4 linked regions of the Arabidopsis thaliana genome follow. The protein of the gene in region 2 interacts with the protein of the main gene of each other region in a pairwise test. Each region holds a gene or a part of one and is shown on either strand. Other genes may lie near its edges.

Region 1 (8,380 bases), on a different chromosome or scaffold from region 2:
TTGTTCCTTAGATTCGCAGCCATTCTTGTTTTCTCTAGTAATTTTAGTTTTTCCAAGTTTGTGGTAGAAAATAATATTCAAAGCAATGAGTATTTATATTAGAGTAATTTACGTACAACGCATTAGTCAAAAACAGAATCAAGAATAGAAGTTGACATGAACGATGAAAAAAGTTTTTACCATTGTTAGAAGAATTGCAAATATAGTATACAGTTATCATTAGATGATAACATCAAATTGTATGTACTTATCTAATCATGGAGCTAATTGAATTAATTTTGGTCTCTTAGTGAATGCATAATGTATATCCCCTAATTATTAACGTATGAACTGACTAATCAATTTTTGGGTTTAGTGTAAACCAAAAACTAGAAAGCAAGCCGGAAGCAATAAAAAGTGTTGAGTGAATGTTGAATATTTTATTAAAGATCAGGCTTAACACGTATCTGAACATTAACGAATAAAAACACAGTATAAAGGACAAATTGAAGGCTAAACCACAGAAAACCGAACCAAAATCCAACCAGGTTAAGATATCGATTTGGCTTGTCATAGGTGGCTCACTCCTTTAAGGTCTTCCTAGTGTGGGATGTGATTAGATACATAAGAAATCAAAACCGCAAATCAAAAATCTAAACCAAAACCGAACAAAACCAAATCAGACCAAAGTGTGACATACCTTGTTCCCTTTTAGATGTGAATAGGCTTGTCATAGGTGGCCATGGCAGCTTCCTTAAGAGCCTCGCTCATAGTGGGATGAGCATGGCAGACTCGAGCAATGTCTTCACTTGATGCATCGTAGTTAATCGCAAGAACAGCCTCATGAATCAGCTCTCCAGCGTTTGGCGCCATAATGTGAACGCCCAAGATCTTATCAGTCTCCTTATCGGCCAGAATCTTAACCAATCCTTCTGCATTATCAATAGCCTTAGCTCTGCTATTCGCCATAAACGGGAATTTCCCAACCCGGTAACTCACACCTTCTTTCTTCAGCTGTTCTTCGGTTTTACCAACCGAAGCAACCTCAGGATGAGTGTAAACAACACCAGGAACCTTGTCATAATCAACATGACCGTGTTTGCCTGCTATGAACTCCACACAAGCAACACCGTCTTCTTCGGCTTTGTGAGCAAGCATTGGTCCTGGAATCACATCTCCAATAGCATACACGCCTGGGACATTACTCAAGAATCTATCATTCACCAGAATCCTCCCGGCTTTGTCAGTTTCCACTCCGATTTTCTCCAGATCAAGTCCAGAAGTGAACGGTGTTCTTCCCGCTGAGACAAGTACCACATCAGCTTCCAGAATAGACTGCTCTCCTCCTTCTGCCGGTTCCACTGTAAGCTTCACACCATCAGAGGAGGAATCCACAGAAACAACTTTAGTCTTGAGCATGAACTTCATCTTCTGCTTCTCAAGAGAACGTTGAAACTGCTTACGAATTTCACCATCCATCGAAGGAACAATATCTCCAGCAAACTCAACAACCGTAACCTCAGATCCAAGCCTACCCCAAACAGAACCCATCTCAAGCCCAATATACCCCGCACCAATAACAATCAATTTCTTCGGAACTTCCGATAGAGACAACGCTCCAGTCGACGAAACAATCTTCTTTTCATCAATCGTAATACCAGGCAAGGACTTAACATCCGAGCCAGTAGCAACAATGATATGTTTACCTTTCACAATAGTGTTTCCTCCATCAATAGTCTCCACCGAGACTTCATTTGGGGAAATAAACTTACCATATCCTTTGACATAAGTCACCTTATTTTTCTTGAACAAACCCTCAATACCACGAGTGAGGTTCTTAACCGCATTATCTTTCTGAGCCAACATAGCAGGAAGATCTACCTCAACAGAAGAGACCTTAATACCATGGTTAGCGAAGGAATGCTTCGCCTCATGGTACATATGTGAAGAGTGAAGCAGAGCCTAATACATCAATAAACACAACCAAGAATTTAGTAATTATGGAATAACTGTGCTTAAGCAAATGATAATCATCACAAAAGACAGTAATTAACTCTCAAAAGAATCATCCACAAAAGGAACAGATCAAAATCGTCAACTATGATCAACAAATTGATTGAAGAAACGAGAGATGATTCGAAATTTGACCTTGGAAGGAATGCAACCGACGTTGAGACAAGTACCACCGAGAGCGCCGCGTTTCTCGATACAAGTGGTTTTGAGACCAAGCTGAGAGGCTTTGATCGCGGCTACGTAACCACCGGGACCGCCGCCGATGATGACGACGTCGTTTTCATCAGATCCTGATGAGGCGAAGCCACGGGAGAGGGAAAAGGAGAATCTGAGAGCGTCAGTGGGAGAGTTTGATAAGTTTCTGGTGAGAAAATACGCCTTCCTCCTAGCTAAACTCGCCATCGCCATTGTTGTTTTAGAGAGAAAGAGAGACTTGGCTCCTTGTAGAGATGAACAGAGCCGGCAAATGTAAAGAGGAGAGGCTCTCTTAGAACCCTTTTTCTCTTTTTAATCACAAATATTTTAATATTTCCTTAATTGACCAAAAATATAGATAAGTAAATAAATCATTTATATGAATGAATACTTGAATTTCTAATCTCAATTATGTACACTAAATATTTGAAATTGATTACAAAGTTACCTTAATGCACACTTGATTTATTATTATTTTCTTGTCAACATTTGAATTACTTTTATAAGTTCTAGACTTCTAATTCATATGTAAAGAAATACACCAAAAAATATTTATGTATATGTAATGAAAAATACTGTATTGTAAAAATTATCAAAAAATATACTCATCAGAAATATATGGACATGAAGATTGTTGGAGGAGAAGAAGATAAAGAGATAAAGATAGAGATGATGAGAAGCAAGTAAGGACAGGATTTGAGGCTTTTGAGATAAACCTCCAAAACCTTTCACAGTCAGAAAGAAACTCTCTGAATTCCACATATATGGGAGAGAGATTCTTAAACCAACCTCCAAAATCTAGATTCAAAATAGTTAAAATTAAAATTCCTTAAAACAATCAATAATGGGTACAACATCACTAATCCTCAAGAACAAAAATGAAATCCTCTTAATCAGTTTCAATAATCCTACCAAAACTTCAGGCTGGTTTTTCTCTCTATCTCTCTCTGAAACAAACCAAAAAAACAGATCAATCAAAAATGAGAAACCACATTACAAACAAGACCTTAACTCTCTATCACTCTCTACGTCTCTTATTTTATCTCATCGAATCGAATCTCAAATTAGAGAAATAATGGTTTGATCGGTAACACCCGATCCCTGTTGTTTGTACATACTGCCAAAAACACTGCTTTCACTCGCCTGCAAGCATTGCTTGTAACCGAGCTCGGGCTTCGTCAGAAACACAGAATCTTAATCTTCTTCTTTGCGGTTGTTTAGGTGAAGACGGAACTGAGGAGAAGCAGATCACTATAACCGTCATATTATCTGATGACTGAAGCCTCGCTGCTTCTTTTCCTAGTTCCATCGCACATTGTCTCGGGTCACCATGCCTCCTCAATCCTTGCCTTACATTACTCACTGCATTCTGGCTTGACAACACATCCCATATACCATCACATGCCAAAATCAAGAACTCGTCGTCCTCTGTTAGAATGATCTGTCCAATCTCTGGGTCTGAAATCAGTGGTGAAGAGGAGTCAGTGAAAGGATTCTTCAGTTCCCAATCTCCAATGGCACGCGTGACAGCTAGGACTCCGTTGAGGTATCCATCCTCAAAGTATCCTCCTAAATCTTCAATCCGCCTTCTTTCTGGCTCATATGTTGATCTGTGATCGAAAGACATATCAACAGCCACTCCTCTCCTACATAGCACTGCACGACAATCTCCAGCATTAGCAACAAGAAGATGTCGTCCGATTATGAGAGCGGTCAAAGCGGTTGTCCCGCATGAACCACTGACAATGGTTTCATCAGCCATGGCAAGATCAGCCAAAGCAAAAGCCTTTCGGTGAGAATTCTCCAGTTCTTCTAAGAAAAACGCGTCCACAATGGAGGGCATCTCTGGAAACACAGCATCTTGGAAAAACAATCTAGTCAAGTTCTCCTTCATGAAAATTGCTGCCTCAGGCCCACCATGACCATCAAACACACCATAAAAAGCACTTGGTACCGAGAAGTTGTAGGATCCAAGGTGAGCTGACAAATCATCTATGCAAATGTGTTCATCCTCCATGGTTTCTCGACTTCGAATGTCAGCAAAGCTCCCTGAACGTATAGTTGGGATAAAGTCACTGGCGGATTCTCCAATGGTAGTAGTTACACAACTCATGCCCTGTTACAACAAATGTACATAAGAAGGTTTGTTTAAGATTCCTGAACTTGGCACAATTAAAGAAACAGAACAGCCAGAACAGAGCATCAGAGTCGTTCCGCTAACAATGTAAAATTGATTCATGAACACCTAAACTAATTCTTCATGCAAAGGTATAAACTTTCCAAAGCACAACACTAATCTTATCATTTTCCATTGTCTACACGAACCTAATCGAAGAGGGTATGTAGGATTCAACATTATTATGCAATAGAGAACAAAAAGAAACCCAAAACTAATATAAGCCCTGATGCAGAATCGGATCATTATCAGAATTTCAAGCAACGGTCTAATCTCAAAATCAAATTATAACTCCTAATCTAAACCAACAAACTCAATTACGAGAAAGAAGAATCCACATGATCTAATTTCTAAGGGAAATTTCTAAGAAACCCAATTAATAAAAATGAGCGATTTTTAGAACAAGAAACCAAAAACACATACCGATCCGAATCGAGGCGTTTCAGCGGAACCCGAAATCTCAGCACGGACAGACTCAGAAACACGAACTTCGTCGATCTGAAAATTCTTCTGATCTTTAGGAGCGGAGATATGGCACTTAACGTCAAGAACCCTGATCTCAGCTTCAGCAACCATTGTTTGACTCAAAATCATGACTTGGTTAATAATCAAATGGAGTAGATCCGATTGCGAATTTCACCGAAAGGCAAATCGACGAATAAATCAACGGGGTAAGAGGTGGTGCTTTGCTTGGACGCAATTGAAATTCGCCTAAAAGAATAAAGAAGACAGGGAATGGGGAATTAGGGTTTGGTTTCTGTGTTGGTTGTTTATTTGCATATTTCTTAATTGACCCATGCCTATATTTAATATAATTTATAAATTTTAATGTATTAAAATACTGTTTTAAAAATATTTATTTTACTAAAAAAGAGTTAATTTTTTAAGCCCAACTTCCATATACCATATTGGACAAGAAAGTGTAATAGATTCTTATATATTCTTTGTGATCTCTAGTTTTCTTATCTACTTTTTTTTGTATATTTAAATTCACATATTTCCCACATAACCGCAAATGTTACTTACAAATTCAATGATTCAGAAGATTCCAAAAATCTAACTGGAACATATATAAACTATAAAAAGACTGTTTTTAAATATTTAGTTTAAATTAAAAAGTTTTTTTCAACTTTTAATTTTCTAAGCCCAACTTCCATATGGGACTCACAAAAAAAAAAGGGAAAGGTCCAGTTTTATTTGAGAATATGTAATAAGTTCTTATACATTTTTTGTGATTTTAGTTCTTTTTTTTTTAATCTATTTTTTTTTGTATATCTGAAATTCAAAGTTCCAACCGAACTGCCTATGACGAACAAATTCAATGGCTTAGAAGATTCTAAAAATCCAACCGAAACATATATAAACGGTAAACATAAGACTATTTGATGTTTTAATAAATTGAAATTGATCTTACAAAAAGAAAATATTTAATTGTTGTTACATATCTATTGTTTTTAAAATGCAGAAATTATACCAAATTAAATAATAATATGAGTAAACAAAGTAGTAAACATATAATATATAATCTAACTGTTTTTTTTTAACGTTGAAAGTTCGCAACAACATTTTTAACTATTTGTATGTGTTTTGCATTTTTGAAGAAAAATCATTATTTGACGGCGAAATAAATTACATACGTGTATTCTTGGTTAAGAAACAAGACAAGTGTATACAAATATGTGTGTGGTGACGCGAGGTTGATGATTTTGAGCATTGGGCGTGACTTCACTGAAGTTGATGATTTGATATCCTTTGTGAATAATTGAATCTTGTTCGTTCTTCTAAATGTGGGTTGACTTTCTTTCTCAAAATGCTCTTTGTTCTCCCTTTATCCTCGACGATCTCAAGGTCGGGTCTTACCACATCTTTGCGACATAATTAATATAGGATGCCTACCGATCGGTACATGGAAAAATTCAAGTTTGGGATCCTACTAAAAAAAATATAGGATGCCTACTGAAAAAAATTAAAATATGATAATGTGTTTATGAGGTTTTAAAATGGAAAAATAATTAATATAGTGAAAATAATTTTTTGTAACTGTATTTCTAAACTTTAAATAAAAAGTAAAATTTAATTGTTATGTTTAGATTCAGAGGGATATATACTATATAAGATATGATTCATTACATACTTTATTAAAATACCCATTTTTGTTAAATCTACAGAGTCCATATTGGAAGTTGGACATATGGACTTTTTCTTAGATAGTTTAGCCCAATGGGCCTATCTCATTTTAAGGCCACGTTAGAGTCAGTCAGCCTATTTTCAAAAAAATAAAATAAAAATTCTTCGTCTTCTTCGTTTCACCATCTCTCTTTTTCTCATCATTCTTCTTCTTCTTCTTCTTCTTCTTCTTCTTCTTCACCTTCTTCTTCCAGCACAACTCCTCAATGGCACGAAATCGGGTATAATTTCTTCTAATCTTACTTCGTTACATATTAACCTTCGTTTTTTTTTCTTATAGGTTTCTTCAGAAATCAATTCAATGAAATTAATACCTTCTTCAGCTTCTGTTTGTTTTCCATCGATGTTTCTTTTTCTACTTAGTTTCGTGCATGTTATTCTACATTGCTGCATACCATTTCTTCTTTGATAATTCTGTTTATGCTGATTTTGACTTCGTTTTATGCTCAATTATGTTCTGGATATCTCATTGATTCATTTTTGGAACTGTTCTTGGAGTAATTTAGGGTTTTAATTTGTCATTTCATTTGAGAGAAATTAGTCCTGCTCGATTTTACTTTTAATTCGATGTGTGTGTGTGTGTTCATCGGAAGCAGGAGGGTTTGGTTTTGGTGCTCGATGTAGGTCCTGCGATGCGTAGTGTTCTCCCTGATGTTGAAAAGGCATGTTCAATGCTACTTCAGAAGAAGGTATACGATCTTTTTCTTCTGAAATTATTGTTCATGAATTTTGGATCTTTCCTTATTGGTTTTGGTTTGTTGTTGCAGTTGATTTACAACAAGTATGATGAAGTTGGAATTGTTGTCTTTGGAACTGAAGGTCTCTCTATCTATTCTTATTACTGATTAAAGTAGGAAGTTAGGAATCTATCCTCTTTAGTACTGCAATGGTTCTTTCTTGGAGTATTATCGGCTTGTTGATGTACTTTGATAATAATGTTTCATGTGACCTCTGCAGAAACTGGAAACGAGCTTGCTAGGGAGATAGGTGGATATGAGAATGTTACAGTTTTAAGGAATATCAGAGTTGTTGATGAATTAGCGGCAGAGCATGTGAAGCAGCTTCCTCGAGGAACTGTAGCTGGAGACTGTATCCTGCTAGCTAGTTTACCGCTTATTTTTACTGTTTCGCTACCATTTTCTTGGTTCTTTAACTGGCTTCAGTTCTTGATGCTTTAATTGTTGGGATGGATATGCTTATAAAGATGTATGGTAATGCACACAAGGGGAAAAAACGGATGTGTCTCATCACGAACGCAGCTTGTCCTACCAAAGATCCATTTGAAGGGACGAAAGATGATCAAGTCAGCACTATTGCTATGAAAATGGCTGCGGAGGGAATTAAGATGGAGAGCATTGTTATGAGGTCTAATTTAAGTGGTGATGCTCATGAGAGAGTAATAGAGGAGAATGATCATCTGTTGACTTTATTCTCCAGCAACGCGATTGCCAAAACAGTGAATGTTGATAGTCCACTCTCACTGCTTGGTTCCTTAAAGACCCGGAGGGTGGCTCCAGTTACTTTGTTCAGGGGTGACCTTGAAATTAACCCAACAATGAAGATTAAGGTAACGCTTTTTTGGTTGTGTCTTTTGCTTGTTGTGCAGAGTTTATAGATATCATCGAACTTGCTGTTCTTTGTTGTTATTCAGTACTTAAGTTCATTCACGTTTATATAATTGTTCGTGAAATTTTTTCTGAAAATAAGAATGTGAAATTTTGTAGGTGTGGGTTTATAAGAAAGTGGCTGAGGAGAGACTTCCCACTCTAAAAATGTATTCTGACAAAGCGCCTCCAACTGACAAGTTTGCCAAACATGAAGTAAAAGTTG
Region 2 (7,861 bases):
TAACCAACGGCTTTGGATTTGTAAAGCTTTTACCCCCAAAACTTTCGTCTATTATTACATTATTGGTATGCACACTTATTTGACTTAATCCATCTCTCTCTCTCAGGCTTTCCAGAAAGGTTCTCCTTTGGTTCAAAAGGTGTCAAGAGAAATCGAAAAGCTAAGGAGAACAGAGAAGCTAAAAGCCATAGAGAATTGGTGGTTCCAGAGACAAACGACGTCAGCCACAAGCGAGGATACGTTCCATCCTCTCACTGTATACACATTTCGCGGTTTGTTTATGATCACAGGAGTTTCTTTTGCGTTTGCTCTCATCGTCTATCTAATCCCCTGGAACCGAGAACAAAGGCAAGTTGTGCTTAAACATTTCCACCGTTATGTTAGTCATCGATTTGCAAGAGAAATTCGTCCTTCTCCCACCACACCAAACAGGCAAAATGAGAATTCAGTCATCTGAAGCCTGACATCTTCTTATCACTTACCTCAGAAATGCAATTCTCATATTTCTTCTCCTTTTGTACATCGTTATATGCTTATATGTGTCAATCCCATCCATAGCTTGAGACAATTTTTTATCTTTAACCTTCGAATTGGGTACTTAAAAGGGAATGTATCCTATATGATTTGTCTTATTAGATTGAAAAATCTCAAGTTAATCATTAATTTTAAGAGAAAATCTTATTAGTGATTTGAAAAATGCATTCAAATTATTTATGAAGTGTTGCTAATAGTAAATCATTAAAAAAAATCTTTTAAATTCACCCAAAAATCCATTAACATTTGACTGCATACAGAAAAACAAAATTCAAAAAGAGAAGAAAAATCGGAAAAAGTCAACAACTTAATGTGACGTGGAAAAGAAATGCCTCAAAGAAGCTGGTTTGTACAAAGATAGGGAGAGAGAGAGTGTTTCCGACAAGCTCTCTCTTTAAGACAATCCATCTCTTTCTTCAAGCTAAGCCCCGACGGAAAGCTAAACTCATTGCTTAAATAGATTCCCTCATGTATGAGTAAGCAAACCCTCTCTCTTCCCTAAAATCAATCTATCTTTTTTTTAACCATTGCGTTTCTTTTTTTCCCTTTCCGAGCAGATCTGAGCCGAAGGTTAACTACATGACCGGCGCTGAGAACGGCGTGAGAATGACGTCACCAGAGGCGTCTTCAACATCCTCCCTCGCCACCACAAGTGTCCACGTAAGCGCTCTCGACGGACTCGTGAACGTGAACTCTCTCTTCACCATCGCCGTCTTCGTTGGTCTTTCCTTAGCGACTCCAGGACAACACAGCCTCGAACAACGATCCAGCTGCGACGCAAGTGCTGACGTCGCCAAGAAGCTACTGGTCTTCGAAGTCGTCTCCTTCAGCTTCTTCCTCTTCTCCTCTCTTGTAGCTCAGGGTCTTAAGCTTGCCTTAAACCTTCTTAATAGCAAAGACGTCAACGAGATTTTCAGAGCTCACATCAATATCAAGGTTTTGAGATGGGGAATGATGGCTTCTGCTGTCGGATCTGTAATGGGCTGTCTCTTCTTGATGCTCTCTATGGTTAATGTGATTCAGATCCGTCTTGGTTTGCTCTCTTGCGGCAGCAAATCGGCGGCTCAAGCTGTTGCAACGCTCGTCACTCTGGTTTCCTCTGCTCTGCTGATTTACATCTCTACCGCCATTTACGCTTTCTGGCATTGATGCTATGTCAAAATTGGATAATGTCCATGGCTTTGTTTTGATTAGCCAATGTGTAATTTCATCATCAATGCCTTCCAATCTAGTTTTTTGTTTTTTTGTTTCGGAGAATGAAGAATCAATCACAAGATACAGAACATTGGATTATGAGAATTTGATGTTAAGCTTTTATGAACAGAAATGAAGCATTATGTTTGTTGTTTGGTGAAAGTATTGGACTCAATGTCTCTAACACTTTGGATAACACTATTGATGTTAATGGTGAGATGGTTGGAATGTTCTTCCATCTCCTTAAGGACCATATCAAGCTGCTGTTGCAAAGCAGTACAACGCCTTCTCTCTCGGCTCAGCTCTGCACTCAGCTCCCTAATCTTTGCGTCTTTCTCGTCCTGAAAAGTTCATTTGTACAAGATTTCGATATCATTTTTTGAGCTTTATGTTCTTGGTAACTCTTAGATCAATGCCAATAATCACTGTTTTACTTTTACCCCAAGGAAAAGTGCGTAGACGTACCGGTGTTTGAGGGAGCTGAAAATTCCGGCGAACATTAGGGGAGAGAGGCAAGAGAGGATGATTATGCTCTTTCTCAAATTTAGTAACAAGCCATGTTCCGGATTTCTCTCTTTTCACAACAATCAGAGCTTTACACCCTTCTCTTGTTATAGCCCGAGGCTTTCTACTCTCGCTTCTCCGAGGTCTCGACCTACGAAATCCTTCTTTATTACACACGAGTCTGCGCCACACCACAGTCCCATCTCGCATTGACCTCCTGAAAGCATCCACTCGCATAACGAAACCCATGCATGTAGCGTAATTGTCATAGAAAGACTTTGCAGCCTCTTCTGATTCAAACTCCATACCAATGAACGGCTCCACCATTGGAGAAGCTTCATCTGTGACTGTCTTCATTACATCTGAATTCTCCATCATCTCTACATCTTCTTCGGGTAAAGAGTTCCCTTCCACTGCCACAACACAACACACAAACATCTCAACTCAAAACAAATGATGCAAAGCTATGTCTTGTTCACCAAACCAGAAACTCTCTACCGAATACCTAACCAAACCCTAGAAAATCCTTATAAATTACCCACCCCTTTCTCTAACCAACTCTTAGCAGTTCTAATCTACTACATTCAGTCCTACGCTAGATATAGTGGACACTTCTTCCAAAGTTTATCAAATACACAATGGCTCGAAGATAAGCAGGTCCTCAAGAAGTGACTAATGGAAACATAAACCCTAAACTATGTATTCATAAACCCTAATGAATAGGCAGAGAGTAGCAATTTCAAGTGATATTACTCGAATTCTGAACTTCACCAAAGTGTAATCATGCAAGAAAAAAGAGAAAATCGAGTACATACAAACGCGAAATTGGGAATCAGATTCCATAATTTGATAACAAAAGGGAGCGAAAACCTCAAAATCATCGAAACAGATAGACGAGAATTTGAATAATAGATTGAATTATTGAATAGTAGAAAAGGGATTCGATTGAAGTACTCACTTGGAATGAAGATTAGAAAACTCCAAATTGTGTTTTCTTCAGAGAGAGGAAGTGATGATGATGATGATCTCTGAAGCTCAAGTTAGTAACTGGTAAGCGGTGAAGAAGACGACAAGAAAAAACCAAGATCTGGTCATAAATTCATTCCAGTCTCGCCCGTTGGATTACGAATAGTGCGAAACGGCACGTAGTTTATGTCTTGACGTCACTTGAAGAGTTAAACATCATGTAGTTTATAGTTTTTTCTCTTTTTACTTTTTACTTTGACCGCCTGACTAACATATTCCATGAGACACTTTTTTCCATTACTTTGACCTAAATCTTCACTTTAAAGACATAAATTCGATTGTTTGTTTGTTTTTTTGGGTAGAAATTCGATTGTTTGTTTGTGTTTAATCTTTGTAATTTACAAATACAAATATATTTTCATCATTTTATGATTATAAGCTAGATAGTGATAACTTTTTAAGTGCAACACCCAAATATATAAATAATAAAAGAATCATCAAGTGTTCCCGTAGATTCGCATGGTTATGTTTCAAAATCCGAAAAGCAAATTCATCAACAACATTTTTGTAGGAGCATTCAAAACAAAGCTCACAAAGTTTGTTGAGCTTTTTTCTTTTGCAAATCCATTCATCATCGCTTTCAAGGTTTTGCCCTAATAATCATTCCGAAGAAAAAAATACCCAATGATTTTGGGTCTCAAACCCGAACCCGAAAAATGAGTTTTTTTTTTACAAGTTTGATCCTAAGGCGGCAAATCCACCACCTTTCATCATTTGTTTAAACTCTTTGAAATTCACCATGCCATCTCCATCAACGTCAACTTTGCTTATCATCCTCTTGCAATCCTCTAGGGTTCTTCCTTGTTTGAGCCCCAAGGAAGCTAACACAGACCTTAGCTCTTCCACCGTGATGAACCCGTCCCGGTTCTGATCAAACACGTTGAAAGCCTCTCTCATGTCTTCCTCCTCGTCTCTTTCCTCCATTATCGTCTGGTACAACCCTCCAAACTCTTCGATGTCCACGTACCCATCACCGTTGAGATCAATCTTCTCGATCATCTGCACCAAGTCTTTGTCTGGAATGTAGATTCCTAGATTCTCCAATGAATCATTCAGCTCTTGCTTCGTGATTTTGCCATCACCGTTCCTGTCGAACATTTGGAAGATCCTGGCAAGCTCCGCTTGATCCATTCTTAATTGGAGTTTATTATTTATGAGCTTTGAACAGAGAATGAATGAGAACAAAACTAGAATATGGGTTTATAGAGAAGAAGAGAATTAGGGCAGGAGACAAGAAGGACTGCTTCTTAAAGGAAAAGGAGTGGTTACCATTTTAGAAAACTCATTACAACTGTGATCGTGGTCTGCACCAGTTTTCTGTTGAACTGGTCTTAAAATAGGTTTATGTCCTTCAAGAATACACAAAAACTAAAGTCTATCAATAGAGATACACACGGAATCTACACATTATCTCGTATTTTGTCATCTTCAAAACAGTTTTCCGTTAGGATAGTTATTTCAGGTTAAATCTTTTGAGACTCAATTTATGGTATAGACAAATATAATTCAATTCAAATGCTTATCGTCTGTTTGTATATGTTTGGTTAATTTTCTACAAAACTTATTTATTTATTTTATCTACATAAGATGTAACTTATTCTAAGTGGATTTGTTCTATACACTTCTTTTTTTGTCGATTTGAACATGGCGATGTTTCGAAAATAGAAGAGACAACTTGAACAATAATAAAATTAAAATAAAAGAGATAGCCTTTAAAATAGTCAAGGTCTTAATCACTTCTTAACAGATTGATAGTCTGTTAACAGGTTTAAATTATGTTGTATTGCACATCCTTATAAGACTGAGAGTAATGATTATTGTGTTAAGTGCACCACAAGCAGAAATTGATTTTGATATCGACGTTTTCAGGTAGATAGAGATGAGCATCCATTTTTCAGTTTGCTTTGGTTTCGGATTTTGAAAAACGAGTAAGAATTAGAAAACTATTCGCAACATTTAAAGATGCCTAAGCTGTGTTTAGAAACTACTGGTAGGAAAATAATATCTAAACAGTATACTCAATATGTTTTGTTACTGAATCAAACCCTGAACAAGAATCGATCCTACAAACAGAGTTTCTGTTTACAAGGCTCAAATCAAATCTACTAAACCATTGGTATAAGATGCCAGATCCATTCTACCTTATTCCCTTTCCCTAAAAGCAGAAACTGTGATTACAATGCTCAGAGTATATTTAATGTTATCTCAGCCTCACCAAAGATGCAGTGGTTATGAGAATGAAAGATCAAAACTCCACTAATTCTTCTAACTCAACGGAAACACCTCCTTAGACAATTAGACCCGAGAATATAAAGGATGGCCTATTAATCCTAAGCATACCGAAACCGGGAAGATTACTATATGGTCTGTAAAAAGAATCTCATTCCAGTACTAAGAAGTCACATCATTCTATATACTCTCTTTCTCTATGCTTAAAGCTGTTGGCAAATTGAGCTCGAGACCAACAGATATCAACACCAGGTAACCACAATTCAACACAATGTGTTCAATAACCTCCTAGCATTTTCCAATTGCTTTTACCAATCTCTAGATATAACACCATAGTCTCTAACCAATCTAATGGAAGAAGAAGCAACGAAAATGAAATCAAGAAAACAACATTCACCCATACTTGAAGCAGGGAATCGTTTAAACAAGCAGAGTTCTTTACCACATTACAAAATTTAAATGTAAGCAAACGAAAATTACAGATTCAAATGGAGTTATCTTCAGAGTACCGAAATTTCCAAAGCGAATTTTATTAGCCAAATTGAGAACGAACCCAACATTTATGAGATCCTCAAGAACAAAAACTTACGGAATATCCCAAGGCTTAGCTTCAGGGACAGCGACGACCATACCTTGAAGCTCCTGCGTTAACACAACTTGGCAACCAAGACGCGAGTGCTTGTTCAAGATACGGGATCTAGAGCTACGCTTCAGCACATACTCCTCATCGTAAGTACGCGGCGGGAGCTTCTCGAGCCATTCCTCTGCGATCTGAACCTCGCACTCCGCTGAGCAAGCCTCGATGTCATCCAATCTATGCGATGCTGGATCTATCAGACCAGTGTGAGTGAGCGCACGAAGGAGAGTCTGGCCAGAGAGTCCAATGATGTCCTGCTTGTATCCATCGGGATCGATCGCAGAAAGCTTGACGATTCGGTCAGAGACTTTCTTCGATCCCAGAGACGGAGAAGGAGCAGACGTTGCGGATGTGCGAACGATTAGAGATCTGGTGAATGGAGAGAGTCGGTGGATTTGAGAGGAGAGTTTCTGAAGAGTCGTCGCCATCGTCGTTCCCCAATTTTTGGTCGGAGCTCAGATTTTTTGTGCTAATGGTTGAAACCGGAAAAGTGAGTGAGGGTGAAACGCTAATTTGGAGATGGGCTTCTTTATAAGCCCAAAGATAAGTTACATACTTACAAGCCCAAATTTCTAACTGGACCGTTCAATCGAACCGGTCAATATTAATCCAAATATTTTGTTTGGTTTAGTTTGGGTTGAAGAAAACATTGCTTCTATGTATTTTATGAGGCATTTAAGACAGAAAAAAATCTATAAACATTCGAATAGCCGCAAGTCCGGCCAGATCCACTCTGTTCCCATGTGATACGGTCCACCTACTTTTTCCAATAACGCGTAAGAAATTTAGGAAGTTAGAACCAAAGGCTTAACGAAACAAGCCACATTTAACTAAATACTGCTTGGTGGACACACATCCGACGTGGCTATCGTTCATTGGTCTGTTCCATCTATGGAATGAGAAGCACAAGATTACTGCTCCATTCCAAATTCCGCCTTCAATAATTTGATAAAATTTTGATCCACTCTGTTTCAAGCTGTCACCAGAATGTCGTCTTCTTCTTCTTCTCCTTCTTCGTCTTCCCTTAAACCCATTAATTCAATTTCCTGATAAACGAGCAGAGAGAGATCTGTCAAAATCACAAACCGTGAATTCGGGAAGAATAAGCCGATGATGCTTCGTATTGTTCAAATCGCGTTTCTATGTCTCGTTCTCGTCGCCGGGATCTCGATCTCCACGGCGATATCAGAGACTGAGACTATATACGAGATCCTCCTGGCAAACGGATTACCTTCGGGGATATTCCCGAAAGGTGTCAGAGAATTCACCTTCGACGTCGAAACGGGACGATTCTCGGTTTATTTGAATCAGGCATGCGAGGCTAAATACGAGACTGAGATACATTACGACGCCAATATTACGGGGACTATAGGTTCTGCTCAAATCTCTGATTTGTCTGGAATCTCGGCGCAAGAGCTATTCTTGTGGTTTCCGGTTAAAGGAATCCGAGTCGACGTGCCGAGTTCTGGTCTTATATACTTCGACGTTGGTGTTGTTCGAAAGCAATATTCTTTGTCTTTGTTCGAGACTCCGAGAGATTGCGTTCCGGTTCGTGGGATTCACAAGGTATGCAGAATGAGTTTTTTCAATTGAACCTTTAAAGTTCTTGAAAATTATTGAAGGATACTAATGGGCTATAGTGTGAATAGAGATAATTCAAATGTTCTTATCGCTGGATTTTGTGGTTTTTCAATGTCGAGCTTTTGAATATTCACAAGTTTCAGGCTTGCCACTAAG
Region 3 (7,943 bases), on a different chromosome or scaffold from region 2:
TTCGCCGTGACGGGAGCTGATGATCGTGTGTTTGTGGTGGCCAGTGGGATTAACGTAGCGGAAGGGAGAGTGAGTGAAGGGCAAAATGGGGATTTTAGTGTTGAGTGGAGGATGGTTTCGTCTCCTAAAAGTTCTATTCAGTTTTCACCTGCTAGTTGTCATGTGCTATATGTTTGATGTGTAATTGTTGTTAGTTTTGAATTTGTAAACTCTTTTCACTAAAACCCTTTTCACTGGCTAAATCTAACCAACCAATTACTTTTCCTTTTTGTCGGCAACCAACCAGATCATTGGACTGTAGTTTCGATAATAATTTAAAAAAGGGTAAAATATACGTTTAAATAGTTGGCACAACATCACTCTTTGCGTATGTAAAAATTTGAGAGGACCCAATCTTTTTCTTGACAACCTAACTTATCCTCTTATACAGTTCATAATGTAATAATTGTATATTAATATTCTTAAAAGTTAAAACTAAAGGTTATCCACACCAAAAAAGAAGAAGAATTGTGTCTTTTGGGATTAGGAAAAGTCTTAAGGCTGCTACTAATGAATAGATTAATAATGATTATTCCTAACAAATCAAATCTTCCACCATTTGTTATCACTGAAATTTCCTCTAAACTCTCCCTTTAATAAAACAAATTCACAAGAGAAGAACAAATTAAAAACAAGTATTAAAAGAAACAATGTTACTTGATTGATCATTCATCTTCATCATCATCACCATCACCATCATCTTCCTCTTGCAAACTACTTAGACAGAAACAACTTCGAGTCTGAGCCATCAACTCTTTTTTATTTTTCATCATCATCATAATCTTCCTATGATCATCACCATCACCATCATCATCCTCATAATCATCATTGTGAATGTGATGATCCTCTTCATTAGGTTCTTGGAGTGCAAGTAAAGGCATTGAATTAGGGTTTTGCCACGAGTAAAAATTCGAAGCTGACATAGATCTTCCTCTCCTCCTTAACTTATTAGCAATAACCAATCTCCTCCTCTTGTTAAATGGATTCTCAACTTTCTCCAAATCCTTCGCCTTACTCGCTGCTTCCATTAAATTACCAAACGATTTCGATTTCCCGACATAATGATTCGATAATCCTCTCCTGAAAATTAACAAAAACAAAACAAACATCAGTATTCAGACCAAACAAAACCAAGAACTAACTTGAACTATAACAAAATCCCAAATCATAAATTTTAACTTAAGGGTTTCAAGATTTAACCAAAACCATAACACTCAGATTCGCAGATGAGACTTGCCAAGAAAAGTATAAAGATCAAATTTTCAGATCAAGAACATAGTAAAAGACAATTATAGATACATTCATGAGTCAAACCAAACCAAACCCAAACTTACTTAATAGGAAGAGAGTCTTCAAGAGAAGAACTAAACGAATCAAGTGTTCCTCGTTGGCACGAAACGGCGTCGTCTTCTTCTTCTTCCTCCTCGTTTTCACTGCTTTCTCCGATAGACGACGAACTATCCGAAGATTCCTCCGGCGACTTATTATTATTATTACTCATCCTTAATCCAATCCCGATCTGTGATCCACCACGTCCTGATTCATCAGCCAAGAACAGAGCCGTTTGAACAGCCTTATCCTGCGCCGAAACACCGCGATGATCTCTAACGTACGCCGCCATGCCGATTCCAAACGACGAACCAACCATAACCTCCATATAAACTTTTCCGATTAAGATCTCTTTCTCTAGCCTGTGAATATACCCGAAAGACTCAGATGATCATAAATCGCCGGCGATGTGCGTAGGTGAAGAGCTTTAACCAGCGCAGGTTAATGATATAGGAAGAGAGATATACAAAAGAAGGTGAAATGCAAAACAACACTGAACGAGAAAAATGGAATAAATTCTCATTTACATTTATAACGACAATATCGTATAAAAATACGATTACGTATTGAATACGAATATTTATACGTATTTATGAGTCTGGAAACACATGTTCCTAAATATAGAATAGTCCTAGGCACGCTAACGGCGACTTTGACGGTATAGACACGGTCTTGCTGACGTGGAGAGTTTTCATTGGTTTAAGTTTGGACTTTTGCCGGACGTTTCGGGTTACTGTCTCCGTTTAATCCGATGTATGTCGTTGTACCGAAAGTTCGGTGGTCACTATCACACCATATCTCAACCTTATCCATTTATATTTTGATTTTGTTTCTTTAAATGTTTTAAGATGTTTTAGAAATATGTGGAAAAAGGGAAAAAAATCTTGATTAGTTATATCAATTCAATTGGATGGATAATATTTGGTATGCAAAATTAAGATGCTGATTTTTTTCTGTTAATAAGTCAAAAGATTACAAAAATATTCGTGTATGATTTACTTTATGTTTTTAAATGGAAATTAATATATTTAAAAATATATAATTAGTACTATCTGAATGATTAGTTTAGTACAAGTGGACAAATTAAACCTTATCTCGTTTACTTTTAGTACAATTAAAACCAATATCGTTAATGATACAAAAAAATCTATATTATAATGAAAATTTGCTAATGCTGGATTAGTGCGGAAGCAAGAACTTTGACTCGTTCAAAATGCGAATATTGGTTTATTTTATACTTTAATTAGCAAATTACTTTGCTGAGTCATGAATGTTTAAAATGTAAAATGAATCCAAAATCATCTATTTTACAATATCATATACATGAGATCAAATTATTGTATGATCCAATCCTAAGATTTTAAATGTTGGTTTTTATACAGTTCAAAGCAATTAGGTTTTGTTATAATCATGAGTTGATATAGATCAAATAACATAATATATGGAGGGATATCATTAGACCAATTAGATAAATCTAACCTTATCTCTTTAACTGATAATCTTGTTTATGAAATGTGGCTAACTTAAGTCTATTAATTGTGTCTAAAGGGTATCTTCCTGTTTAGCTTTACCTCTGGCATTTTATTTTAGAAAATTCAATGGTGGACTATGAAACATTTTTTAAGATATTACTTTTTTGTCATCCTGTTATTAAATTAATTATCAAAATCTGTTAAGCTCTTAATGTTAATGTATTTCCTCTTGTTTATAATTACGTTGTTAGACTTTAGATCTTGACGATGATACTGAAAAGAATTGGTAGTTTGACTTGTATAAATCGAATATGTGAACTAGCTGTGTTGTTGTTTGCTAGTGACTTGATGAATGATTGCCGCATTTTTTTTTAATTGAACATGTTAGTTGTGTGTATACTTGTGTCGTGTGTATATTTGTCCGCATTTATATAATCGAGTTGATAGACACAAAATTACTTCCAACACTCGTATAACCTATATAGCCAGTTTAAACTTTTGAGTCTTAAGTATATAAGTTTCAACCCATCAAATAAATAGATGGGTTATATTCTCCCATAAGAAATCTCGAACCCAAATTTATTTGAGTTGGGTTGAGTCAACCAGTTCAATTAATCTAATGGATAACATTTTGCATGTATTTATGGCCCCATAATATAGAAATAGATCTGGAAGCCCAAGCCCAACCTTCTCCCACTTATACTCAGAGCCGACATTTGGTGTCGGCAACGCCAATATATTATTGGAGAAGTTGAAGGAAGACTCATGTTGTGTGGCTTCAGAGAGTGATGCCAAAAATACGAGAACTAGACAGACCCGTGAGTGATATCAATTGTTTTACTCTTCGACACAGACAAATGGGAAACACGCTTACCATCATATATTCATATACCTTTTACTCAAATGAAATGTGAAACCTGATCTCCAAGACTCCATTTTTCAGCAACTTCTGGGGCCAAGTTTTTGTATCAGACGCATCCCAATATGATAAGTTTCACTTCCCAAGTATTTGGTCTTTTCTAGCATATATATTGGATTTATCTAAAGAAAACTATACACTAAAAATGGTTAGCAAAAAATAACACTTTGCTTTAAGTATTAACTTAGGTCCTCTTTTAAAACCTTGCTTAGGTAACCATATTCTCTATTCAGTCGTTAAAATCTTTATTAATACTATAACCCGGCTTTTGTTTTTATTTTTCAGCAAAAAAAAACACAAACACACACACACATTTAATCAGAAATCCAGCAAGGTCCAACAAGAAGAAAAAACACAATCAAAATTCCTTATAAATTAATCAAAACACTAGCTAGACAGTAGACACAATACAAATCAAACTAATGTCGACTTCTAAGACCATAACCTTCACTCTCTTCATAGCAGCACTACTCTCGTCCTGCGACGCAGCCACAAACGCTACATCGCAACCACTATTTCCAGCGATTCTTATCTTTGGCGATTCAACAGTTGACACAGGTAACAACAACTACCACTCACAAACAATCTTCAAAGCCAAACATCTTCCTTACGGAATCGATCTCCCAAACCACAAAGCTAGTGGAAGATTTACAAATGGCAAAATCTTTTCCGACATAATCGCAACAAAACTCAACATCAAACAGTTTGTTCCTCCCTTCTTACAACCAAATCTCTCTGACCAAGAGATTGTAACCGGAGTCTGTTTTGCATCAGCCGGTGCGGGTTACGATGACCATACCAGTCTCTCTACGCAAGCGATTCGTGTCTTGGACCAACAAAAGATGTTCAAGAATTACATTGCTCGTCTTAAAAGTATCGTAGGAGACAAGAAAGCTATGGAAATCATAAAAAATGCTTTGGTGGTTATAAGTGCAGGGCCTAACGATTTTATCTTGAACTATTACGATATTCCTTCAAGGCGTCTTGAGTTTCCTCACATTTCTGGTTACCAAGACTTTGTTCTTCAAAGGCTTGACAATTTCGTGCGGGTAATGTTTTCAAATATTTGCTCGATTTACCTCTACAACAAAACCTTTTTCTGCAATAAAATTTTAAAAAACTACATTTTAATAACTTAGTTAGAATAGTCTATAATGCATTATTCGACACACATTTAGGAATGAAGTTTTTAGGGCTTAGTGGATAGGGTTTAGGGTTCCCACTCGTCTTGTTAATCTTTCTAGTGTGTGTGCAGGAGCTTTACAGTTTAGGTTGCCGGAAAATTATGGTAGGAGGTTTACCGCCGATGGGTTGTTTACCGATTCAAATGACTGCTAAATTCCGAAACGCTCTAAGGTTCTGCTTGGAACAAGAGAACCGAGACTCTGTCTTATACAATCAGAAACTTCAGAATCTATTACCTCAAATCGAAGCATCGCTTACAGGAAGCAAGATCCTTTACTCCAATGTCTATGACCCTATGATGGACATGATGCAAAACCCTAGCAAATACGGTATAGATGATACAATCTCTTTCTTGTTTGGCAAGGTATCCTATGAGATAAATATTGACCAGTGATTATATATGTTCATTGATGTGGAAACTAAAACAGGATTTAAAGAGACGAAGAGAGGATGTTGTGGAACAGGGCATTTGGAGACGAGCTTCATGTGTAATGCTTTTTCTCCAACGTGTAGAAATCACTCGGAGTTTTTGTTCTTTGACTCGATTCATCCATCCGAAGCTACTTATAATTATATGGGCAATTTTCTAGATACTCAGATCCGCGTGTGGCTTAGCTTGAGGCTTAAGTCATAATTATATTGGCAATTTTCTGGATCTCAAGTACTATACTAAATCAGTTCGCTTTCACTTGTTGACAAAACGAAAGAAAATATTAGTTAATTAAGTTAAATTTTTTTTTAAAACCCCTCGTATAGATCAAATAAAATAAGTTATGTATTAGGTTAAAGAGAAAAAAAAAAAAAAAGGAAGCAACAACTAAATTTTTTTTAGTTATTCTCGATTCTACGACAAAATTGTGAGTCCGTCGTGTTCATATATTCGTAGTAGCTGTTCCTCATCCATATTATCATAGCACTTGAAAAAAGAATAGAGCAAGGACATTAGGAGCCACAAGGCAAAGGGTATTCCAAAACATAGAGTGGATAAGCGAGAAATAGAATGAAGAAGGAGAAGAGTATCGTAAAGCCAAAGATATGACGTATAGGTCCTAGAAAATTAGTTTTCAAGAATTTGACACGGTCATCTTCTGAAGGAGCGTATACGGCTATGTAGATCCACACAACCTAATCGGCAATACATGTGATGACGTAGAGAGGCCAGAGATATATGAAAGGCTCGCCATCTAGAGCGACGTCGATATTGTTATCTCTTATGTACCAAAACGATGCAAGACCGGTTCCCATAATGAAAAAGTTAATGTACAAATCGTAATATATGATCTTGTTAAACAATTATAGATCGTTAAAGTCATAATAATAATAATAATGATAATAAAAAAAATCATCGATTGTATGTATCGACTCACCACCAAATAGAACACCGAGACTCAACGGTAATAAAACAATATTGGTGCTCAGAAAATTTGTTGTCGGCCATAGTTATACACATATACACATAGAATCCAATTCCCTGTCTAATTGGGTTTTCGAAAATTTATCTTTTTGTTTTTATTGTTTTTTGTTTTGGTTAAAGGTTAAAATGTTATAGAGAATTTCAGTTTCCTATTAGAAATATGTAATACAAATAGACTTCTCAAATAATCATATGTATAATGATTTTTTTTTCCTTCTTTTAAGATGTTCTTATCATAAAAAAAAAAAACAAATTGCATTTAAAAAAAAATACTCAATTAACTCCTTTTAAGTTTATATTTATTAGCTTTAATTTAAAAACAAAAAAAATATATATAAAGCATGATCATAACGAAATAATACAACATACGAATATATAATAGAGATTGGATGAATAAAATTAAAAATATTGAGAATTTACATATGTTTTACTTATAATTCATTTTCTATTTTGCTTATATTTTATGTACTTTTTGCTTTAAAAACAATATGAGCAAACTTTATATTTTAATAATTCTAGAACAACTATAAAATATTAACAGAGTTATAAAATAAATAAGTTATCATAATGCATTTGCATTATAAACCTACACTACATTTGGTATTATATTTTTGACAAAAAATGTAATTTATCTTTATTAGGAAATAAACTTGGTCTTGCTTTGCTTTTTCTAGGTGGAACATATAAAAAAATATTAGAAAATAAAATTAGAGAAAATCTTACATAAAAATAATCAAATAAAAAAGTTACAATCAACTTTTTTAAGAAAACAAGTAACCTATTTGGGTACTCATTTAATTCTATATAATAAATTAATACTATAACAATATGTAATCATTTTCTCTCCCTATTTGTTTCTCACTCTCTTTGTTTTCCTCAACACAATGGCTTTGACATTTGACGGCGTCGAAAAGAGATTCGAGATCACCTTCTCAGCCTCGACATCCAACGAAAATATACGCCACGAGAAATGTGTTGGACCAGATTCTGAAACCCGTCGGCGGTTTCGATCGATGTGGTGGCTCCATCGCTGTTGCCTTCTATACGGTGGCTGCGTCATAGTGATTGTGAGGTGGTGGCTCTGATGCTTTGCTTCGCAATGTCTAAATCAACTTATCCAGTAGACCACGTCCATAAATACTTAAAAGACTATGATTTTTCACTATCAACCATCTAAACATATCGACGACATAGATGAATATAGACAATGTTATTTAAAAATTTAGAGTGTAAGGTTTTAGATTTAACTATAGCAACAAACTTAACGCATGACTGGCAAACAATTGTTAAATAAGAAATGGATTAGGTTGATGGATGCTTATATATGAATAAAGTGGTAAATTTCCCAACTGGGTTCGACGCCCGTTGAGAAGAATCCGTTTTCCAAATATGATGAATTTAATAATTTGTTGTGGATCCCGCCTCTAGAAGATGTAAGACCTTCTTGCTTGAACTTTCAGATATTAAAAAAAAAAATGCTATGCTAATTATTATGACGCTAACACCATTTCCAAGAATTCATTTCAAAATACTTAATCCTACCTTCTAAACTCAAACTGATTTATAATTTGGTTTAAATGAATAA
Region 4 (8,310 bases), about 18 Mb from region 2:
AATTTCAGACAAGAACAAATACTGGATAATGCTAGCAGATCTGAAAGGAAAAGGAAAAAAGAAGAAGCGAAATACTCATACTGGGCTTACTTATAGGCCTATGACAATTTTGTAAAGCCCACTTTTAACGATATCGTGAAAAGAAGAAGGATAGCCAAAAATTTGGTGATATTTTTTCTTTTGTGGCGGCAAGCGATATTTCATATTTGTATCTTATATTATATATAGCCAAAAATTTATACATATTTAAGAAATAGTTTGATTTTTCTTAGAAAAATACATCTAGTATTTGATTATTTAAGAAACCGAATGCCACACAAAAGTAGTATGTATTAACCGTGTGTGTGCATAAGCACGAAAATGTCGAGGATAAGATACATTGTATTTGTCCAAAAAAAACAGATACATTGTATTAGCTAAATTCATCATATTCTATGTAACACACGGCAAAACATTTGAAGACTTGAATGATAATAATAATATCATCGTTATTGAACAACGGACGTTTGATACTTCAATATTTGCAGCATTGAGAAGCGTTGAAATTGAAACGTCCAAATATTGTTGTCCACGGACAGTTTATACTTGTTCACAATGTCTAATCTTGATATGAAAAAAAATATATACAGAGAAATAAGGAATCCTAAGTTGAGGCAGACCAAGATCTTCAAAATAGTATAAGGCTTTCCTAAATTGTCCAAATATCGAATTATAACCTAAAGTTTGGATCCACTCTATGAATGGACCCGGATAAAGTTGTAGTTTTGTTTCGTAGCTTGAACAATTTGTGTATTGTACAACATGGTGAGTTTTTTGTTTTTTTTTGTGCTTTCAACCAAACTCGAGCGTTTAGTAAAACATTTGAGTATTTGCTAACTTGAGCAATAAATATCATTTAATCGGTTGATACTTGATACAAAGTAATCGAAACGAAACTTTCGATTCCAATCGTGATCTAATTGGGCCAACCAACTAGCTTAGATTTATTAGACAGAAAAAATCAAGACACCTAAAGTATTCATAATCCAATACGTAGCTAGATGCCCCTATAATATCATTACGTCTCTGATCACTTGTTTTGGCTCAAAGGAAAAAATACAACAAACATATTCCGTTATGCTGACACGGCATGATCTCATTGGATAACAGAAATTCAATCACATCGTACACTTTAACCCAAAAATTTAAAGATTTTTTTTTGGAGCAATTTGGCTTTAGAGAATAGGAAAAATCAAGTGGAGTGGGTGTGGTCAATAGAATCTCCACTTGTCCATGGGACAAATGTGGGTTTGCTTTCTGAGAGCTTTTGGTTTGAAAATTGAGTTAAGGCAATAATAATAGTGAGTCTACTGCACCACCTTTGTCTCTTTTTGCACTGTCTCGTCTTTCTGCTGTCTCGTCTTCTGTGATATTATTTCGAACCTCTTAATGACTTACTAGTATTAATCAGAAACCCCACCAAAGTTTCATTCTTGAGAAAAATCGAACGATAGACATTCAATATGGGTAGGGTAATCAATAATTCTTGATGGCTTTGTCAATTTGGACAAAATGTGATCCATGAATAATATATAGTCTCTTTGCTAAATTATGAATATAGTTGCAAGAGAATAACCATAAATTACACCAGTATCTAATAGCTGATTTAGAAAAAAGAAAGAAAATAACTATATGAAGTCATGTAAGACTCAGCTTCCACGACCACAAGATACCAAGCATAATAACCATGGAAAGTAGTTATGATGTGCCTTAATTTATTTGGTAGAAAAGTTAAAAACTGAAAGTTCATATTTAACTGAATGCGCTTTAGAAGTAAAATCCGGTATACTATACGTATATGATTATCTCTAAGCCAAAAGAATATAAGTATGAACACAGAGAAAATAGAACAATGAACAGACAGAAGAAAATAGAGTAAACTCCGTAGTAATTTTTATGTAATATATACGTTACTCGTTACAATACATACACTATTTTCTTGTAACACATAAACCGTTTTCAAATTCCTTATAAATGAAATATACGCTCATTATAACTACATAATCACTCATACGGATTCGAATGAACTTTGATAGCATGATCTTAAGAGCTGGATAAGGAAGTATCTTAGGTAAAAGAAATAAGTGGATGAGAGAGAATAGGCGTCTTGGTTTGTAATCTTGTTGACGAGGAGAGGGAATGAGAGAGAAAGTGATCATGAATAGGGTTTGAATTTGATTCGAGGGAATAGTTGCTGTTTCAGGACTCAAATTGAGAGGTCCACATGATGAGGAATATGTGTAGTTTTATTTAATGTCTGAATTTGATGGATCCTTCTGAAACCTTTGATTTCGACAAAACACCCACAATGTGTTTGTCTCTCACTTCTTTACGTAACCTTTGTAGATTCTCTCACTCTCTCTCATGTCCATTTGCGCCACGTCACTCAGATGGTTGTACCATTTGCGATTATTTGATCTCAATGTGGATTGTTATACGTGACATGTCATCGTCCTATTGGTTTAGAATCAAAAACTTTAATCTCCCGCGTCCCCTTACCCAACCAAAAAACTATTGATGATCACTTTGCCTTTTTTTTGGCCGTCCATTATTGTAACGTATACTACACTTGTCATGGTGGTACGACTATACCCAAATTAATACTTTGAGGAGTCAATTACGTAGATGATTAAATTATGAATATTATCTGGAAGAGATCGACGACATTTGGTTGGTGTAATCAACTTTTTCGGGGGTTTGTGTCATTCATAAATAACAAAAATTTCAGAAGAAAAAGAACTAAGTTAATCATTAGACAGAAATTTCAATAGCGTAACTTCAAAAAACTAATTATAAAAAAACAAAATCAACTGTGTAACTTACGTCAGATGTAATGTTTATTAGATGTAATAGGTTCCACTAATCCATATCAATATTATCATTTATGAGATGGAGTGGGATTTTGTCTTTTATGCTACATTAACAAGTACATGATAATTTCTGGGTTTCTTTTACCGGTCTTAATATTAATAAACATGTTGGTATGCATGGTTAAGAGTTAGGACTTAATTAGGAGGAGGCTCATACATATATGACAGAACTGAAAAATTCAGTAGCAAACATTTATCTATAACATGTCGTGTAAATTACGTTGGTTCTTTTTACGACAGAGGTTTACTAATGTATATGGATTATCTCATACTCATAATATGTAGTTACAATATATATATATATATATATATATATATATATATATTATAACTTTTTTGAATCTAGATTATATTCAAAGAAAAAAGAAACATTTATACATGTGAATGCAAAATGCAAACTTTTTAAAAAACAAATTACAAAGATTTTCTATCCTTAATGTTGCTCGATGCAAACCACGTTTGGATCTCATCCGCATATTTCTTCACTTCTCCTTTTCTTAAAGTGCTCAAGTGATTTCAAATGTTCTTATCAATCAACTTACCAGTTATATATTTTATATGCATGGTATTCCCTATTTAAACAAGTTCAACATTCCTTTAACAAAAAGAAAAAGAAAAAGGAAAACAAGTTCATGCCTCTCTTGCCTCACCTTAAGAGTAGACGTACCGATGTTCAGGGGCGACCTAGGCCTCTAATACGTCTTCTTATGATATTTCAATTGTCAAATCGATGGTCACACAACGGTAGTCATCGTAGATATACATTTGATATGTTTGTTACAACAGTTATCTTTTCTTTATTAATGGTAAGCCTTAACATAAGTGTTAAGACTTATGATTATATGCCTTGTATATTTCGCACTATGGTTTTATATTGTTTCAAAAGGAATTCGGTGAGTTACAATTGTTGAAGTCATTATTTTATTTGCCATTTTTTAAAGTATCAATCCTTTAAAATTCCGAATTTATCGTTTACTCTCCTTTTATGTAATCATGTGCTCTTAGAGCCAATACAACTAACTTTCATTTTCTTATATAAGTTAAAACATTAACAAATAGGTATAGATTTAATTTCTAGAAGATTATGGAAATTAAAACACGACTAAGTGTTTTTTTGCAGAAAATGTATAGAGAGAGAGGGGCCATGGATCACGTGGAGGATGCGTGAGATGGAAATGAAAAAACGAAGGGAGAAGAGAGAAAGAGTGATTTTACAAATCTCCTCTAATCCTTTCTCAGCCAATTATGATCAATCTCCCACGTGGGGCTTCTGGCCCCATGCATGCATATCATCTTTCAACTATTCACTCTTTTGTCTCCTTCTTCATCTTTTTGCGTGATCTTCTTCTATATATGGCTGTCTTTATCTCCACAAGTGGCTTTTAGAAAGAAGACTCTCTTTTAAGTTTGGGTGTTAATTCTAGGGTTTCCATTAACAATGGCAGATTCTTCTTCTGCTTCTTACATTCACATGGTAATATTATATTGATTCAAGAACCTCATGTACTTCTCCGGCCGTCGATTCTATGAATGATCTTATCTATTTATCTTTTACGTATGTACCTCAATATCTTTGGATGTGTGTATGTATGTATAGGTGCAGCACATGATAGAGAAATGTTTGATCTTCCATATGAGCAAAGAAGAGTGTGTGGAAGCTCTCTCTAAGCATGCAAACATCACTCCTGTCATCACCTCTACTGGTTTTAATTCCTCTCTCTCTCTCTCCTCTTTTTTAATACTTTTTACCTTTCCGTAATCCTTATAAACACACAAACATATCTGTACCTATGTACTCTCTAACGGGATTAATTATATGTATAAATTATGGAGCTATCATCATATTATGATACCATCATTTAGAATTTGATCATGTAATATGTACTTAATTAGCTACAGATAGGATCTAGCGTGATGGATCGATCTTCAATATTTCTATTCATATAAGTGCTCATGCATAATCAAATTAATGATTATATACACTGACTTGACTACCTGGCGACTAGAACTTATACATATACAAAAAAAGCCAAAGAAAATATAAAAATCCTTGCAACATATATATCCGGCCTATATATTTTGTTATCATAATATTAATGAATTGGAACAAAATAAATGACAGTGTGGAAGGAGCTGGAGAAAGAGAACAAGGAATTCTTCAAGGCGTATGAGGAGAGGCAAAGCAAACAAGAGCAAATGTCGGAGGAAGAGACAAACCAGATGATCCAGAAGATTATCTCGGATTCATCTAAAGAATCCGACGACTGATCGCGATGTTCGATCGTTAGATTTCGAAAACCTTATAGTTTATATATATGAATCTCATGAAAACGATTTATCCCTGACGCATGCATGTTTATAAGTAAATCGTTTTTTCATCTTAGCATCGGTCCAACAAGCAAGACAGCAAAAAAAGGAGTGATGACACTCTTTTTGGTACGTTATACGTACGTGGTCCACATAATATTGCCTCTGTTTAATTATATATAATGAAACGGACGCTAGCTCATACATGGATCGATGGTGTGGTGTTTTAATTGAATGTATCGTGTGTATATATTTTCAAATAAACTATTTATTTCGGGTTTTGGTCACCTTAAAAGGCTTTAGCACTCTTGGAAATTTTGTATCATGGTTTCCATATGCTTGCAAGTTTCGGAACCCAAAAGTCCAGATTTTAGCCAGATCAGTAAAAACGTTGATCAGCTGTTTTTTGGTCCATGATCGGCTGTTTTTTTTTTGGGGAACGTCTATGCAGCCATTTTTGTTTTTAATAGAAATTTCTTCAAATTGAAAATTTACATTAATTAAACAAAAACAATAACATGGAGAAAAAGTTCTTGAACAATATCCAATTAATTTGCGATTAAGTGGTCAAAATGTGTCCGATCCTATGATCAGCCCATAACTTGAACGTTGTTAATTTGTTATACCTTGTGCAGAAATGTCTTTTTGGGTCAAAGTTCATAAGAAAACTCTCACTTAACATGCGTTGTTAAGTGAGTGACTACTCACAAGAGTAGTAACACGTTTCAATTTCCAGCCCACGTAAATCTAGACTACATGGCTCCTATGTAATAATTCTTTCTTTTTGTTGGTAAGTAAACAAAAAATTATAAAAAGGATTTATTCTTACGTTAACTTGATATAAAAATGGAATTTCGAGAGTATATAGTATATACAAACGAATAAATAGACCGGTTGAAATGCAAAAGGTATGTATTTGCCAAAAAACAGAGAGTTTTGAATATAAAGAATTAAAGACAAAGATTGTCATTTAACTTTCTTTTTTTCAGTACAGTAAACGTGCACAACACAATATAGACCACACATTAAACTTATAAAGAAGAACATACAAACGAAACAGAGGAATTTTCTTTCAACAAATGCCATAACTCTTCAAGCTTTGTAGTATGTAAGATAAACACTGAAATGGAGAATGGTATCATGACCATCAGTAACATGTTGGTCTTCCTGGTTGTGTAGAGTCTCCACGACAGCATACCCTTTAGCATGCTCGAATCTCCCAGTTCCACCCACAACAGCGATATGCGACGCATGAGAAGCGGTTCGGTGAACCCCAAAGAAGCTGATGGCATCATCAAGGGTGTCATGATGATCATGATCTTCGTGGAGTAACACTGTCAACGAAAGGGTCTGGCTAGTTCCATCCAAAGAGCTAGCGAGATAAAACCCTTGGGCTCTCCCAATGATCGCAGAGCCCAACTCATGGCCCTCGGTGAGCTCATCGTCAACCACGGTGATAGAGCCAAACATAAGCTGTTGGAGGGCAGCTATGGGAGGGAGCTGACCCGTGGTTACAAAGGGAAGGTTGTTGGAGCTAAGGGATCCTTGAGAGTTACCGTTACTGTTTTGGATTACGGTGTTGGCTTGAGAGCCACTAAGTCCTGTTAGGAGTGGAGCTGTGTTTGGATTGATTAAGTTGTTGATGCTGTTTGCGTTCACAAGCGGCACTGCGTTATCTACTGGGAAAATGTTGTTGCTGGATTTAGAAAACGGTATTCCATTCACCTCTGTTTGTGCTACTATCCCTGTAACCACACGTGCTGATGGGTGTGACCCGCCTAGCACGTCATGCATAAAGAACTCTAGGATTGGCTCGGGTCCTCCCGTGGCGGGTCCTGGGAGAGGAATTGGTGTTGGAGTTGTTGTTACGGCTTGTGGACTATCATCTTCCTCTTCCGGTACCTGGGGGACTAATTGTGGCTGAGTTTGAACCTCATCGAGAAGTCGAGCGGATTGGACATTGGAAGCTATCAAGAGAAAGAGAAAGATTGTAAGGCTAAGAGCTTTGGCCATTGTTCTTTCTTTTTGTTTTGGTTTTAGGTTTGTGTTTATTTTCTAAGGCTAATGGGTTTGTTTATATAGGAAGCGCGGAGGATGATGAGATCATGGAGTGGAGTTGTTGTTGTTGTTATTGTCGTTGCATTCTCATACTCTAGTTGATTAATGGATTTAACTAAACCTCTAGGTTTTATTCATTTTAATTTGCTACTTACTCCTCTTGCTTCTTCTAGCCTTCTTGATTTCTTTGACCTATTTTTGTTTCTTTCTATCTATTCGTTAGAAATTAGAATAAATCATGTTAAGAAATTAAATGGAAGAGAGATCTTAATTAGCCATGTTAATTTCATACATAAGTAACATAATTATATTTGCAATATTAACCAATCACATAATTATGCAATACCACTCTATTTTTGTGACTTCACAAATTTAATGAGAGAAAATGTTGTCATTCTATAGTTTATCTTTATATTAAGTTCAATTTCTTGTTTCCACCAAAAAAAAAAGTTCAATTTCTTGTAATCAATTTTTGTTAATGAAAAATGATAATCGGAGACAAAACCAGTCTTGGACTCTTGTCATTATTTGGGCTTAAATCTAAAATAAGATGGGCCAATATTGCTATATTAGATCCAAAAGTTAGGCCCATGATTGAATCACCGCCTAGCAGAGGAACACCACTTCCGTCGTAGAGCTTTGGAGCTATGGCGGTAATTCATTATATAGGGTTTATTCTTTCCGTTCCTCACCAAAATCTGCCAAATCCGAAGTTGCAGATGCGCTAGGAGTTCACTTAAACTCGGAGCCAAAACCATCCTCAAGTCCTTCCAGTTTCGGGGATTCTCCTAAATCCTAGCCGTTGCTGGTGGTTGTAGCTTGCTAGTTTGAGAGATGTATCTGTACAGTCTTACTCTGCAGCAGGCGACCGGAATCGTCTGCGCAATCAACGGGAACTTCTCCGGCGGGAAGACACAGGAGATTGCGGTAGCTCGTGGCAAGATTTTGGATCTTCTCCGTCCCGACGAGAACGGTAAGATCCAGACGATACACTCTGTAGAAGTATTTGGTGCAATTAGATCCCTAGCTCAGTTTA

The links.
Region 1: the proteins of AT3G07500 (region 2) and AT1G48040 interact in a two-hybrid assay, tested with the Arabidopsis thaliana proteins (one large-scale study listed by BioGRID).
Region 3: the proteins of AT3G07500 (region 2) and AT2G24550 interact in a two-hybrid assay, tested with the Arabidopsis thaliana proteins (one large-scale study listed by BioGRID).
Region 4: the proteins of AT3G07500 (region 2) and AT3G55240 interact in a two-hybrid assay, tested with the Arabidopsis thaliana proteins (one large-scale study listed by BioGRID).

The regions. Positions count from the first base shown.
Region 1 is NC_003070.9:17,716,742-17,725,121, forward strand, and holds AT1G48040 (Protein phosphatase 2C family protein), read right to left. Parts: upstream 5,151-8,380; 5' UTR 4,958-5,150; coding exon 4,787-4,957; intron 4,304-4,786; coding exon 3,323-4,303; 3' UTR 2,843-3,322; downstream 1-2,842. Other genes in the region: PMEI1 (pectin methylesterase inhibitor 1), read right to left, coding at 1-23; mtLPD1 (mitochondrial lipoamide dehydrogenase 1), read right to left, coding at 691-1,941, 2,128-2,400; Ku80 family protein, read left to right, coding at 6,757-6,771, 7,147-7,239, 7,318-7,369, 7,508-7,639, 7,714-8,117, 8,275-8,380.
Region 2 is NC_003074.8:2,387,717-2,395,577, reverse strand, and holds AT3G07500 (Far-red impaired responsive (FAR1) family protein), read right to left. Parts: upstream 3,363-7,861; 5' UTR 3,192-3,362; coding exon 3,191-3,191; intron 2,646-3,190; coding exon 2,194-2,645; intron 2,070-2,193; coding exon 1,869-2,069; 3' UTR 1,800-1,868; downstream 1-1,799. Other genes in the region: GLR1.4 (glutamate receptor 1.4), read left to right, coding at 1-20, 107-457; AT3G07510 (maternal effect embryo arrest protein), read left to right, coding at 1,003-1,010, 1,092-1,683; AGD11 (ARF-GAP domain 11), read right to left, coding at 3,928-4,389; AT3G07480 (2Fe-2S ferredoxin-like superfamily protein), read right to left, coding at 6,073-6,552; AT3G07470 (transmembrane protein, putative (Protein of unknown function, DUF538)), read left to right, coding at 7,235-7,690.
Region 3 is NC_003071.7:10,427,356-10,435,298, forward strand, and holds AT2G24550 (major centromere autoantigen B-like protein), read right to left. Parts: upstream 2,133-7,943; 5' UTR 1,697-2,132; coding exon 1,374-1,696; intron 1,120-1,373; coding exon 705-1,119; 3' UTR 501-704; downstream 1-500. Other genes in the region: AFR (Galactose oxidase/kelch repeat superfamily protein), read left to right, coding at 1-177; AT2G24560 (GDSL-like Lipase/Acylhydrolase family protein), read left to right, coding at 4,182-4,808, 5,015-5,273, 5,373-5,578. UniProt on the Arabidopsis thaliana protein: Probable transcription factor. Promotes slightly the tolerance to cadmium (Cd) and to oxidizing chemicals (e.g. diamide).
Region 4 is NC_003074.8:20,470,743-20,479,052, reverse strand, and holds AT3G55240 (Plant protein 1589 of unknown function), read left to right. Parts: upstream 1-3,720; 5' UTR 3,721-4,347; coding exon 4,348-4,383; intron 4,384-4,506; coding exon 4,507-4,612; intron 4,613-5,031; coding exon 5,032-5,177; 3' UTR 5,178-5,718; downstream 5,719-8,310. Other genes in the region: AT3G55230 (Disease resistance-responsive (dirigent-like protein) family protein), read right to left, coding at 6,309-7,229; SAP130b (Cleavage and polyadenylation specificity factor (CPSF) A subunit protein), read left to right, coding at 8,109-8,310.